Linked DNA regions of Schizosaccharomyces pombe. Changing the gene in region 1 together with any one later gene gives a genetic interaction. Each region holds a gene or a part of one and is shown in the gene's direction. Other genes may lie near its edges. The genes, in order: met6, grx1 and trx1.

The links.
Region 2: mutations in met6 (region 1) and grx1 impair growth when combined (synthetic growth defect), as found in Schizosaccharomyces pombe (one study listed by BioGRID).
Region 3: mutations in met6 (region 1) and trx1 impair growth when combined (synthetic growth defect), as found in Schizosaccharomyces pombe (one study listed by BioGRID).

What each region holds. Positions count from the first base shown.
Region 1 is NC_003423.3:4,088,165-4,092,951, reverse strand, and holds met6 (homoserine O-acetyltransferase Met6), read left to right. Parts: upstream 1-1,703; 5' UTR 1,704-2,125; coding exon 2,126-3,591; exon of another isoform or gene 3,592-3,633; coding exon 3,634-3,673; 3' UTR 3,674-4,266; downstream 4,267-4,787. Other genes in the region: dolichyl-phosphate beta-glucosyltransferase Alg5, read right to left, coding at 1-412, 568-624. UniProt on the Schizosaccharomyces pombe protein: Commits homoserine to the methionine biosynthesis pathway by catalyzing its O-acetylation.
Region 2 is NC_003424.3:4,872,209-4,875,645, forward strand, and holds grx1 (glutaredoxin Grx1), read left to right. Parts: upstream 1-2,010; 5' UTR 2,011-2,060; coding exon 2,061-2,081; exon of another isoform or gene 2,082-2,175; coding exon 2,176-2,228; exon of another isoform or gene 2,229-2,396; coding exon 2,397-2,494; exon of another isoform or gene 2,495-2,562; intron 2,563-2,617; coding exon 2,618-2,751; 3' UTR 2,752-2,843; downstream 2,844-3,437. Other genes in the region: hit1 (HIT zinc finger domain-containing protein), read right to left, coding at 1-364, 478-545; ceo5 (TTC27 family TPR repeat-containing protein), read left to right, coding at 3,367-3,437.
Region 3 is NC_003424.3:2,623,295-2,626,490, forward strand, and holds trx1 (cytosolic thioredoxin Trx1), read left to right. Parts: upstream 1-2,038; 5' UTR 2,039-2,162; coding exon 2,163-2,474; 3' UTR 2,475-2,561; downstream 2,562-3,196. Other genes in the region: dfg10 (steroid dehydrogenase), read left to right, coding at 1-196; oligosaccharyltransferase subunit Ost4, read right to left, coding at 646-744; SPOM_SPAC7D4.08 (uncharacterized protein), read right to left, coding at 1,748-2,038. UniProt on the Schizosaccharomyces pombe protein: Participates in various redox reactions through the reversible oxidation of its active center dithiol to a disulfide and catalyzes dithiol-disulfide exchange reactions.

The sequences.
Region 1 (4,787 bases):
CTCTAGCGTACAACATGCCCCAAGTTACCGCACCGCCTTTACCACGATTCCGTTTGAGTGAGCAAACTCGTAAATGATCCCGCAAATCCAGTTTGTTAGAAAACTCTAGCACTGCATTCACCGTCGTATCCTTACTCTCGTCGTCAACTATAAGGATCTCCCACCGACGTTGTCCTGCTGAAGAAGAGGAACGATAATATTTTTCCAAGTGATCGACTGTCTCTTGGAGCATGTTTCCGATTCGTTTAGACTCATTATACGCGGGAACAATGACCGTTATTTGTATATTATCAGAAGTGCTCCACTTCTCAAGAGTCAAACTTTTTTTTTGACCGTTCTCAATGAATACACATGTTTCCTCTCCTTCCAGTTGCTTCCTCGGGCAATGAGAATGAGTTAAATAATAGTAAACCTATATTTGGGTTAATGAATATTCGGGGAAAAATTTGGTCTAATGTCACATCAAAAAATCGAAAGTACAGATAAACTAAACAGGTTCTGCCCGCAACGACCTTATTTACCGACGGGTGGACATGAATGAGAAGCATGCTAGCTAATATTGCTTACCAAGAACAAAAGGATAAATCCCGCAAGGCAGGTGTATAAAACGATGTATACTACCATGTCGTAACTATGCAAAAAGCAGAAGGGTTAAGATTTATGATATTGGAAGAAATAACTCATTCAAAAAAAAAATTACTCCACTCCGTTTATACTCTAAGCTATTTTTTAATGAAATCCGAGCTTTTGCAGTTACAAAGCATGCGGTGGGATTATTTGTGTTTGGCTCTGGCTAACTGCCGACTGGACTGGACAACAGTAATCGTTTAGTCATAGCAGACGAATTTTTTAGTACGAGTTGGTGAGTAGCAGTCAACAACTTAAAATGTCTACTTTTACAAGCAATTAAGCATAGACATATCGATTACAATAGACTCTCATTGTTGCTCAACTTCTGATAGATCACAAAAGTCAAGCATACTTGTTATAATTATATAATTATTTTGACTATTTGGGAGACATTGTATTAAAAGAATAGGTGCCTTTACTCTTTCCTAAAAAACTTACATGACTGTAATTCTGCGTGGATATAAATATTTTTTCATGGAACATCGTATGATATATCTTACGGCTACTTAGTATTAAGGGCGCAAGTTGTTCAATTGCCTTAACCTTTTTGAATAGGATGAACTACAGGTTTGGCTGGGTCATAAAATATGTCTTGAGTATTCCTTCATTTGTAAATTGATAAACTAAAACACTTAACGTTGAAAACACTTGTTTAAAATTGGCTTCAAGTCAATTAATTGTAAATTTAAGGAAACTAGCAAGTAATCATTATTTAGACCAAGCGCCTGTTTATTTAACATTATTACACCTTTTCCTTATCGATTCGTTTATCTTCGAAAGTTGATCTCGCAGAGTCCTGATCCATGAAATGACTTTTTATAAAACATTAGCCTTTGTAATTTTTTTAATAAATTCATCCTTTTCATACATGATTTTACTGAAATTACGGTTAAAACTGTTATATTTATATAAGATAACAAAAAAGTCTCGTTGTTTGAATAGCATATTATGAAGTACCCGTATACCAAACTCGGTTATTGATTACCGTTCAATTAATGTTGTCTAACAAAATACTAAGCAGACCGTTAAATTAGGTTGAGATAAAAGTTTATAAACTTACCACTTCTCCTTTCACCATAACCGAATAGGAAAAAAAATCTTGGTATTCAAGTGTTTTTGGGTAACTTTGGAATTTAACAAATTAGCAAATATAGTTGCTTACCGTTCCTGGTACTAAAAAACCTAAAATTTTTATTGCTGCGCAATACCGTTAGTTTTGGTTTTTTTTCGTAAAAACTTTCTGGTTTTTCGATTTTTTGTTTTTCACGCTTAAAAGAAGAGAAGCTAATTGTATTTGCTTACTCAACACAAAAGCAAGTAATTCATTCTTTGTGTTAAACCTTACACTAATCTGCTTTTGTCAAAAAATTTTTTTTTGGTTATTTAAAACTCCTACCATTGAGTTTTGTTAGTTACATCTTTGAGAACTCAGTTCTATCAAAAAATTTAGTTTCTTTCATTTTTTCAAAATTTGACTATCAATCGTTTGATAAAAATGGAATCTCAATCTCCGATTGAATCAATTGTCTTTACTGACTCCTGTCATCCGTCTCAGCAAGAAAATAAATTTGTTCAGCTTATTTCAGATCAAAAAATTGCAATTGTTCCCAAATTTACGTTGGAGTGTGGCGACATCCTTTACGATGTTCCCGTTGCCTTCAAGACTTGGGGTACTTTGAATAAAGAAGGAAACAATTGTCTTCTTCTTTGTCATGCTTTAAGTGGTTCTGCTGATGCTGGAGATTGGTGGGGTCCTTTACTCGGTCCTGGTCGTGCGTTTGATCCATCACATTTCTTTATCGTATGCCTTAATTCTCTTGGTAGCCCATACGGAAGCGCCTCTCCTGTTACATGGAACGCTGAGACTCATAGTGTTTATGGGCCAGAATTTCCTTTAGCAACCATACGTGATGATGTAAACATCCATAAACTTATTTTACAAAGATTGGGTGTAAAGCAAATTGCTATGGCAGTAGGTGGCTCCATGGGTGGTATGCTGGTTTTGGAGTGGGCATTTGATAAGGAATTTGTGCGATCAATTGTTCCCATTTCTACCTCTCTTCGTCATTCCGCGTGGTGCATTAGCTGGTCTGAAGCGCAACGCCAGAGTATATATTCTGACCCTAAGTTTAATGATGGATACTACGGCATAGACGATCAGCCTGTAAGTGGCCTTGGAGCTGCTCGTATGTCTGCCTTGTTGACATATCGCTCCAAATGTTCTTTCGAACGTCGCTTTGCCCGTACTGTTCCTGATGCGTCTCGTCACCCCTATCCAGATCGTTTACCCACTCCTCTCACGCCCAGTAATGCACATTGGGTCGTTCACAACGAAGGAAACCGTAATCGCCGTGAACGACCTTGTCGATCCAATGGATCATCACCTACTTCTGAAAGTGCTTTAAATTCCCCCGCCTCTTCTGTCTCGTCTTTACCTTCTTTAGGTGCCTCTCAGACTACAGACAGTTCTTCCCTTAACCAGAGTTCGTTATTAAGACGTCCTGCTAATACTTACTTCTCTGCGCAATCGTATTTACGTTACCAAGCGAAGAAGTTTGTAAGTCGCTTTGATGCTAATTGTTACATTTCGATTACTAAAAAGTTGGACACCCATGATATTACTCGTGGACGCGGTTCAGACTCTCCTAAGGAAGTCATGAAGGATTTGTCTTTACCCGTACTCGTACTCGGTATTGAAAGCGATGGTCTTTTCACATTTGACGAACAAGTTGAAATTGCCAAATCTTTTCCCAATGCTACCTTGGAAAAAATTATTTCGGCCGAAGGCCACGACGGTTTTTTGCTTGAGTTTACTCAAGTAAACTCACATATTCAAAAATTCCAAAAGGAACATTTAATTGATATCATGTCTCAAACTAATTCCTTTGAGCGACTTGATTCCCAAGTTAATGATACCAACCGCGAAAGCGTTTTTGGAGAAATGGAAGACATAACCTCCTGGTAAGTAAAGTGTTTTTAGGATTGTTGATAACTTACCAATAGTTATCCTACTGGTTACCATCCTGGTGTTACAGTGGTATAAGTATCCTACGGACCAACGGCCTGGGGAGAAAGATCGTGTGCTAGTTTAGTCAACTTGAGGATTCAACTCCTCATGTATAAACACGATCACTTTCGTTAATGAGCTTGAAACGTATATTATGACTATTTTATTTAAAAAGGATGTTAATTTTCAAAACATGGTTTTTTTCGTTAGCTTTTCAACTTCTCATTCCACCTTTCTTTTCTTATTGTTTTGTCAATTTAGGTTCCTGCGGGCAGTGAATTAGAGAGCGATTGAGCTGGATGGTTTCCTTGTATGCCTTTCTTTAAGAAAGAAGAAAATGTAGTATACATTGATAGAAATTGCCAAAACCTTGTTAAACCTATTTCAACCCTTTCTGCATTCGTCTAACCGATTCTTGGATAGATATGCATCTTCTTGAAGAGTGATGCGTATATGGAAATATTCCAGTTGTATCTAGCGAAATCACTTTGCCACAATATGAAATTTGAAAATTACATTCTCACCCCTCCAACATGGGGACTAATTCTTTTTTAATGCCACCAAAAAAAATTCTATGAAGCGTTTGTTGATGGGATTTACAGTCGTTCAGTGTTTAATATATAGATTTTATAAAAACAATGTTTAATAAACTATTTTGTTTTTTTTTTGTTGAAAGTTTTATTTCGTGGATAAAGAGAATACAATTCGATATACTATGGAAAAACAAATGTAGCAATCCACCGTGGTATGAAGAGAGAGCAATACAGCATAGGATAAGATTATTGGAACTCGGACTAGGAAGCGGATATCTGGGGCAAAATCAAGATTGCTTCTTCCGGGTTCGTAGAGTTAGCGACAGATCCTTGCCGGTCATGAGGAAAAACAACGCACCGACCGTATCCAAGCTATGGTTTACATCACAACATACTGGGTCAATCATTTATGAAAGTGCTTATTTCGAGAACACAAAGCTCTATATTCACGTGCCTTTACACCGGACATGATAAAAATCTTGTTAAACTTGAAAAAGGAGTATTCTGGTGGTTTTGTTTACATTTTTATAACACAATACAAGCCGCTACGTTATCTTTCTTTTCCATCAGCTGTTACTTAGACGGAAGCACAAGAAGCAGTCACAAAGCAGTAGAGA
Region 2 (3,437 bases), on another chromosome or scaffold:
GGATGCCAGTTTTTCGAAAGATGGATTGTGTAGCCGCTGTTGCTGAATAGCATCTAAGGTTTTCAGAGGAACAGAACCCTCTTCCTCACGGTCAAGGTTCACTAATTCTTTCATTATATGTAAAAGCTCGGCATTACTTTCAATTAAATTTTTTATGCTAGGATCTTCGACAATAGATTCCAAAAGACTTTCACTTGGCAATGCCTCTTCTGCTAAACTTGGGATTCTTCCATTAACGTAGATAACATTAGGAGAAGGTTCTGGGGGGTTTAAAGGTTCTTTAACTCCTTTGAATGTTGTTGTGTTATTGTCATTTACAGTCTCACATTGACTTTGGTGGATTTTCCAGCAAGGTAATGAACAACTATTAATTCTATATTAGTATTTTTAGGAAACAGAAAAAAAGAATAAAGCATTGGTTCATGGGTTAATGTGTATTGAAACAAAATGCATTGTTCTGAGCTTACAAGCACATACTAAGGAAATGAACACTTCGGGCATTTATATTTTATTTCTGATTCGTTGCATATTGAACAAGTTGTCATGATAGCGTTTAAATTTTTCTAATGTATTAGAGGAGAAACCTTTTTTTTTAGACAAGCTCAAACAAAATAAGATTAAAGGGAGAAGAGCAATAGAGTAACGTCAAACCTTGCTAGTTCAAAATACAGTTAACACTGAATAAAAAGGCTCTGGTTTTTCCCTCTTTTGTGATATGTTCGAAAGCTATGGTAAACAGTAAAATAATATTTTTTTGAATATTCTCAATATAAACTATCTCTGCATCTCTAGCGAGTACATTTTTTTAGATTAGCATGGTGGATTTACTTATCGTTACCCCTCACTATATAAAGCTTTTTAATGATTTTCTGGTTACGAATTTTAGTGACTTAGTCGTAAATAGTTTAAGCTTTTTAAAAAAAGTACTTATTTAAAGGAAATAAATTATGAATCTTTCTTTGGGAAGGATCAAAGCGCTGTTGTAAAGTATCCTCAGTTTCCAATTTTTTGTTTATAGCCCTCCCTAACGATCTTAAATGATAAGCAACGTGTTTGAATCACAACCTTTCATTTTTTAATATAAAAGGAAGTATCTGATAAAATCTTTAAGGATATGCTTGTATAATGCTGAGACGTTCTTAGAGTCATTATTCAAAAATATCTACTTAATTGCGTATATTAAAGTTAGCAGATGAAACATCGAATCATGTATTTAAAATGCTAATTGATTTACAGCTCTATTTTCCAGAATTTTTTTCTAAAAAGGAAAATAGTAAATCATTAGTTTATCTAATTAGCTAAATTGTTGACGTTCATGTCAATGGGTAGGCAACATAGCTTAAGTTGATCAAGAGCAAATGTTTTTGAGCAAGGTAATATCATTGCTTTATTAGAAGCTTAAAAATGGTTTAGCGTAACAAATCGACACAGAAAACTAAAATAGATAATAAAAAGATTTTAAGCAGGGTTTTTCGATGAAGGTATATTTGGTCTCAATTCACAATTTTTATTTCAATTGATTGACTGTTATTACTTAACAGATAACGAAAATTCAAGTTAAACATACGCAATTATAAAAATAGGTTAGCCTTTTTTTTTCTATGCACTTTAAATCCGTTAATTAATTAATTGTTGTAGCCAGAGCTCATAAGATTTGTAAATAAATGAAATCTATTCGAAATCGCAATCATTTAGTCTTATTATTCATAACAATGCAAAGCACGCTAAGTCGCTAGAATAAACAAGTCATACAGAACAGAAAACATCCAACTAGTACAATTCTCTGCACGAAATCATTATAGGCGGTTTTAAAAAAAAAATAATAAAAATCATAAAATTCATTATATTCCCTGCCATATGCTAGTCTTTCGGTTATTGAACCGTTTACTAACGTATAAGTCTACTAGACTTTTCTAACGTTAGGGATACGTGCTCCACTGACGTATGAATTAGCAATATGGAAAACCATGCACATATATATAATACACAACTGATAATACATATCTGCCTACCACATACCACCAAATTTAAAGGTTTTTGTTTGTTACGTTATTAGAACCATGTCTAGTGTTGAATCATTTGTACGTATCCGTTTGGCTAGAATCAGAGATTAACCACAATGTCGCTGAATTTTGGTAAAATGTTCTTTTACAGGGTACTAACATTTCTGTATAGGTTGACTCTGCCGTTGCTGACAACGATGTTGTTGTTTTTGCCAAGTCTTACTGGTACGTTTGCTTAGTAAAGTAATCGTTGCATAAGGGCGTGTATTTGTCACACTGGCTTACCATAGTTTGAACGCTTGTATTTTTGTTTTAACAAATTACACTTCCATATGCCTAGAACCGACTACTTAATTTTTTTTGTTAAGCAGTGATATTAACTCTTAATTTTAGCCCTTACTGCCATGCTACTGAAAAGGTGATCGCTGATAAGAAAATTAAGGCTCAGGTATACCAGATTGACCTTATGAACAACGGTGATGAGATTCAATGTAAGTTTTTATTGCATCTGTTGTTTTGCTTGATGCTAGTTTAGATCTGTCTATAATATAATAGACCTTGAGTCTGTATAAAATGGATGGTATAAAAAAAAGCATACTAACCTCCTTGATTAGCTTACTTATTGAAGAAGACCGGTCAACGTACCGTACCCAATATCTTTATTCACCAAAAGCATGTTGGTGGTAACTCGGATTTCCAAGCATTATTCAAGAAGGGCGAGCTCGACTCTCTTTTTAATACTGCCTAATGAAATTCTATGAGCAATAAATTTTTTTCTTTAAATTACATATCTCAAACTGAAGAAACCTGTATTATAAAGCTCTTAAATCTAAATCTGTGGTATTTTAAAGCTAATGATAGAACTTAGATGCAGCTGTTTTTCCTAGCTACTAACTACAACATAGCACATAAATTTTGCTTTTATTTTGAGTAATAAATCACTCGAGAAATACTGCTCTTTTCGATTACTTTATTAAGTAACTCATCTGTGCACAATTTGTACTAGCTGATTTAAATTTTTGAAAATTTAATTATTGAACTGGTAAAACAAAATCAAGGAATATTAATGCCATTTTTATCCTTTATCATTAGACCTCTGTAAATTCGAAGAGTTTCTGAACCTATTCTTGAAAATTGGGTTTTATAAATTTCTGGGTACATTAGTCAGAGTTCCCAACTCCAATCTTCAATTCCTGTAGTAGCAAACTAAAAAATAGCTATTTTCCTTACTCACTACTGAATTGAATTGATTTCCTTTTTGTTTTAAATACAGAAATTCCACTATTAGACGGGATAAATGCTTAATAGGTTGATTGTCTGAAAATATATTTGTTGAATCAAAAATTTTCAGTTTTGCCAAACAATGGTAGCAATAGAAAATAAAGAGGTCCTTTTTGGAGGTTCTCTAAAAAGCACAGAAGAATATGATCAGTT
Region 3 (3,196 bases), on another chromosome or scaffold:
AACTGGCCCCCATTACCTTGGAGAAATCATTGTTTATACTGGAATAGCACTGATTGCCCAACACTGGTTAATATGGCTAGTCTTGGGATGGGTACTTTGCAATATGGTAGCAATCTCTTCTTCTTATGCTTGTACGGTCAAGAACAAAGAACAAAGTTTGGACTTTCGGTGGACTCTTATACCTTTTCTATACTAAGAAAAGCGTGCCGTCAGGATACCGCGATTCTTATTGATTGTGTAAAATAACATTTATTAAAAAAAAAGATAATTTGTATTAATATTTAGTCGGGGTTTGAGAAGAGACGAACTTTAAAGATGTATTATTATTTTATGTTGCACTTTAGTACAAGCAACAGTAGATGATAAAAGTTATTTGGCCAGCATGTAGAAAATAGGGAAGGAAGGAAAAAGAGATAGGAAAATAAGAAAAAAGTAATACAAGTGTATCCAATATTTAACGGAACAAATAATAAGACATATTTTGTTTCGTAATATAATCATTTTGATATGCAGGTACAAATTCCATTTCACAACAATACCAAAGGTAACTTCCCTTAATTGAAAGAGTGACTAATTTAAAAAACGTAGACGAAGAGTGCAGCTATAAAGGTAAGTTAGACAAACAGACATGAATCTCTCTTTCTTTTATGCTTGAGGACGTGAAAGGTAATGGTAAAGGATGATTAAGAGCATCATGGAGATACCAAAGGTGGTAACGATATTTTGAAGTTGAACGTCTGTCATTTTTAAGATGATCCTTTGTAGGAAATGAGTTCTGATGCTTGTGCTCGGTACAAGTTGGGAATACAAGTATTTAGGTCCAAGCCTGAATTGCCGTGCATTCTCATAAAGTAACGAAGCACGGTTGCTACTTGAAATGTGAATATCAGTACTGCAGTGATGAAAAAGACTGCCGGTATATAAGGTAAAAGAAAGAAGAAAGAAAATTCATTTTACGGTACTTTCGAATTCTTTAATACATATTGCTGCTCAATAGCTTCTGGATGTCTAAAATGTGAATGCTTCGAAAGAGCGTAAAAAAATTTCAAAAAAAAAAATTTCTTCACCATCCCTATAATTGCCGTTGATTAAAAAAAAAAAAATGTAACTTTCTACTTTGTTAAAGCCAAAGTAGCTGTAGAAAAAGTGACTGTGGATGCGTATGTAAAAGGTTACCCTCTCAAGCTGAAAACTGCATTGTACTATTTCGCCATAACGTGAATTTGATATAAAGCGATGGTTCAATACACCGTTTCTAGAGGAAGTAGCATGGAAAAAACATAAATTAAAATATCGTTCATCGTTCTAACGAAAGTTCAGCTACCGCAAAGAATTATTTGACTGGCGATTAACTTTTTTTTGATTTCAGAATTTCAAGTATATGTGACACTGTTATAAACTGCATATTTATACTCCTTTTCCAATTTCTACCGCCATTTATATGTAAAATGGATTTTGTTAACAGTAGGAATATCGCCTCACTATTTTACATTTTTGTATGTCTTTTAATTTGTAATTTCATATCAGTACCTCAGTTGTTATAACAAAATTTTCTTAACATTACTTCGACTCCACTAACTAGATCGTGTACAGCAAAGAAAAGAGCACGCATAATCTTTCAGCTTACCAAAAAAAAAGAAAATCTTTACATTTACATACTTATTATTTTGATGCTTTAATTGCTTATAATCTCATGTTTGTCGAGAATCCACGATTAACAAGCTGACATAACAACAAGATGGCTTCTTTAGCTTTGTTTACTAATTGTCAGGTTTCCGATTTGTGATTCGTTGTAATTCCATGAAGTATTACTCCGAAATGCGTTATAGAAAATTAGGAAACGAATTGGTAGGTTGATGGCAGAGAATGGCACCATATCCTCGTTATTGTAGCTCATTACCTCATCGTCGGTGATTGCACAATGTACGCTCTCGATCTTTCTACTAGAATAAGCGAACTTATAAATTACACATTTTCTCAATAATATATAAACGGGCACGTCGCACCATCGTATAAGTATACTAGAGACAAAGTTCATTTGCACTCCTGAAGTCAACGTCTTTTGAATTTTTCAGGTTTACTTCTGTTTACTCGTTAAATCGATTTTTTCTTTATTTGAGTATATATTTTTAACTTAATTTCCCATTTCATTTATATACAACATGGTGAAACAAGTCTCCGACTCTTCTGAATTTAAATCTATTGTTTGCCAAGACAAGCTTGTCGTTGTCGACTTCTTTGCTACTTGGTGTGGACCTTGCAAGGCCATTGCTCCTAAGTTTGAGCAATTTTCCAACACTTACTCTGATGCCACTTTCATCAAGGTTGATGTCGATCAATTAAGTGAAATTGCAGCTGAAGCTGGCGTTCACGCTATGCCCTCTTTCTTCCTTTACAAGAATGGTGAGAAGATTGAAGAAATCGTAGGTGCTAATCCTGCTAAATTAGAGGCTTCTATTAAGGCGAACCTCTAATTTACGCAATCTGATAGTTAGTTGTTATGAACTTGTAATACAAAATATTTTTATTTAACAAAAATAAATGTTTTGCTTTTCTTTGTGTATGCACCGTTGTAATTTATTGGGAAAAGTATTTTTGTCCTAGCATCTTTTCTACTGAAGTTGCAGAACGGCGATTTGCGTACAATTATCGCAATAATAGTAATGTGCCATCGACCAGGCGTAGTAATCTAGTCATGGGCATTTTTCAGACAAGCTAGCTAATTTGCGACCGCCTTGAGCATTTGTAATATTTAATACGACTTTTTGGTTAGGCGTTCGTGACTCTGTTCTACATTATTCTCCTATCCTTCTAAGATAGACATTGGAGAGTGTATACCAATTTGGAATGATACCATTTGGATGAATAAATATCCTTTTTGATTACATGCTCAAATACATGCTACTCTTTATTTATAACATTATACAATTAACCCAACGAATATTTATGTTGATCTGAGTAGCAAACATATTTTTGTATTCTATTAGAATAAAATCTTTAATATTCTCGTTAAGTATTGTTTTATAACAATCAAATTTCACATTTATGGAGTAAAATCACAGTAATGATTACGCTCCGTCGACATGTTCTTAACACTTACATCCTAACATACATTGTTCGTCTAACGAGTTTCATTAAAAACACAATTTTTCTTAAACAAAAAGGAGTTCCTTTCTATGTGAAAGAACTCTACCAA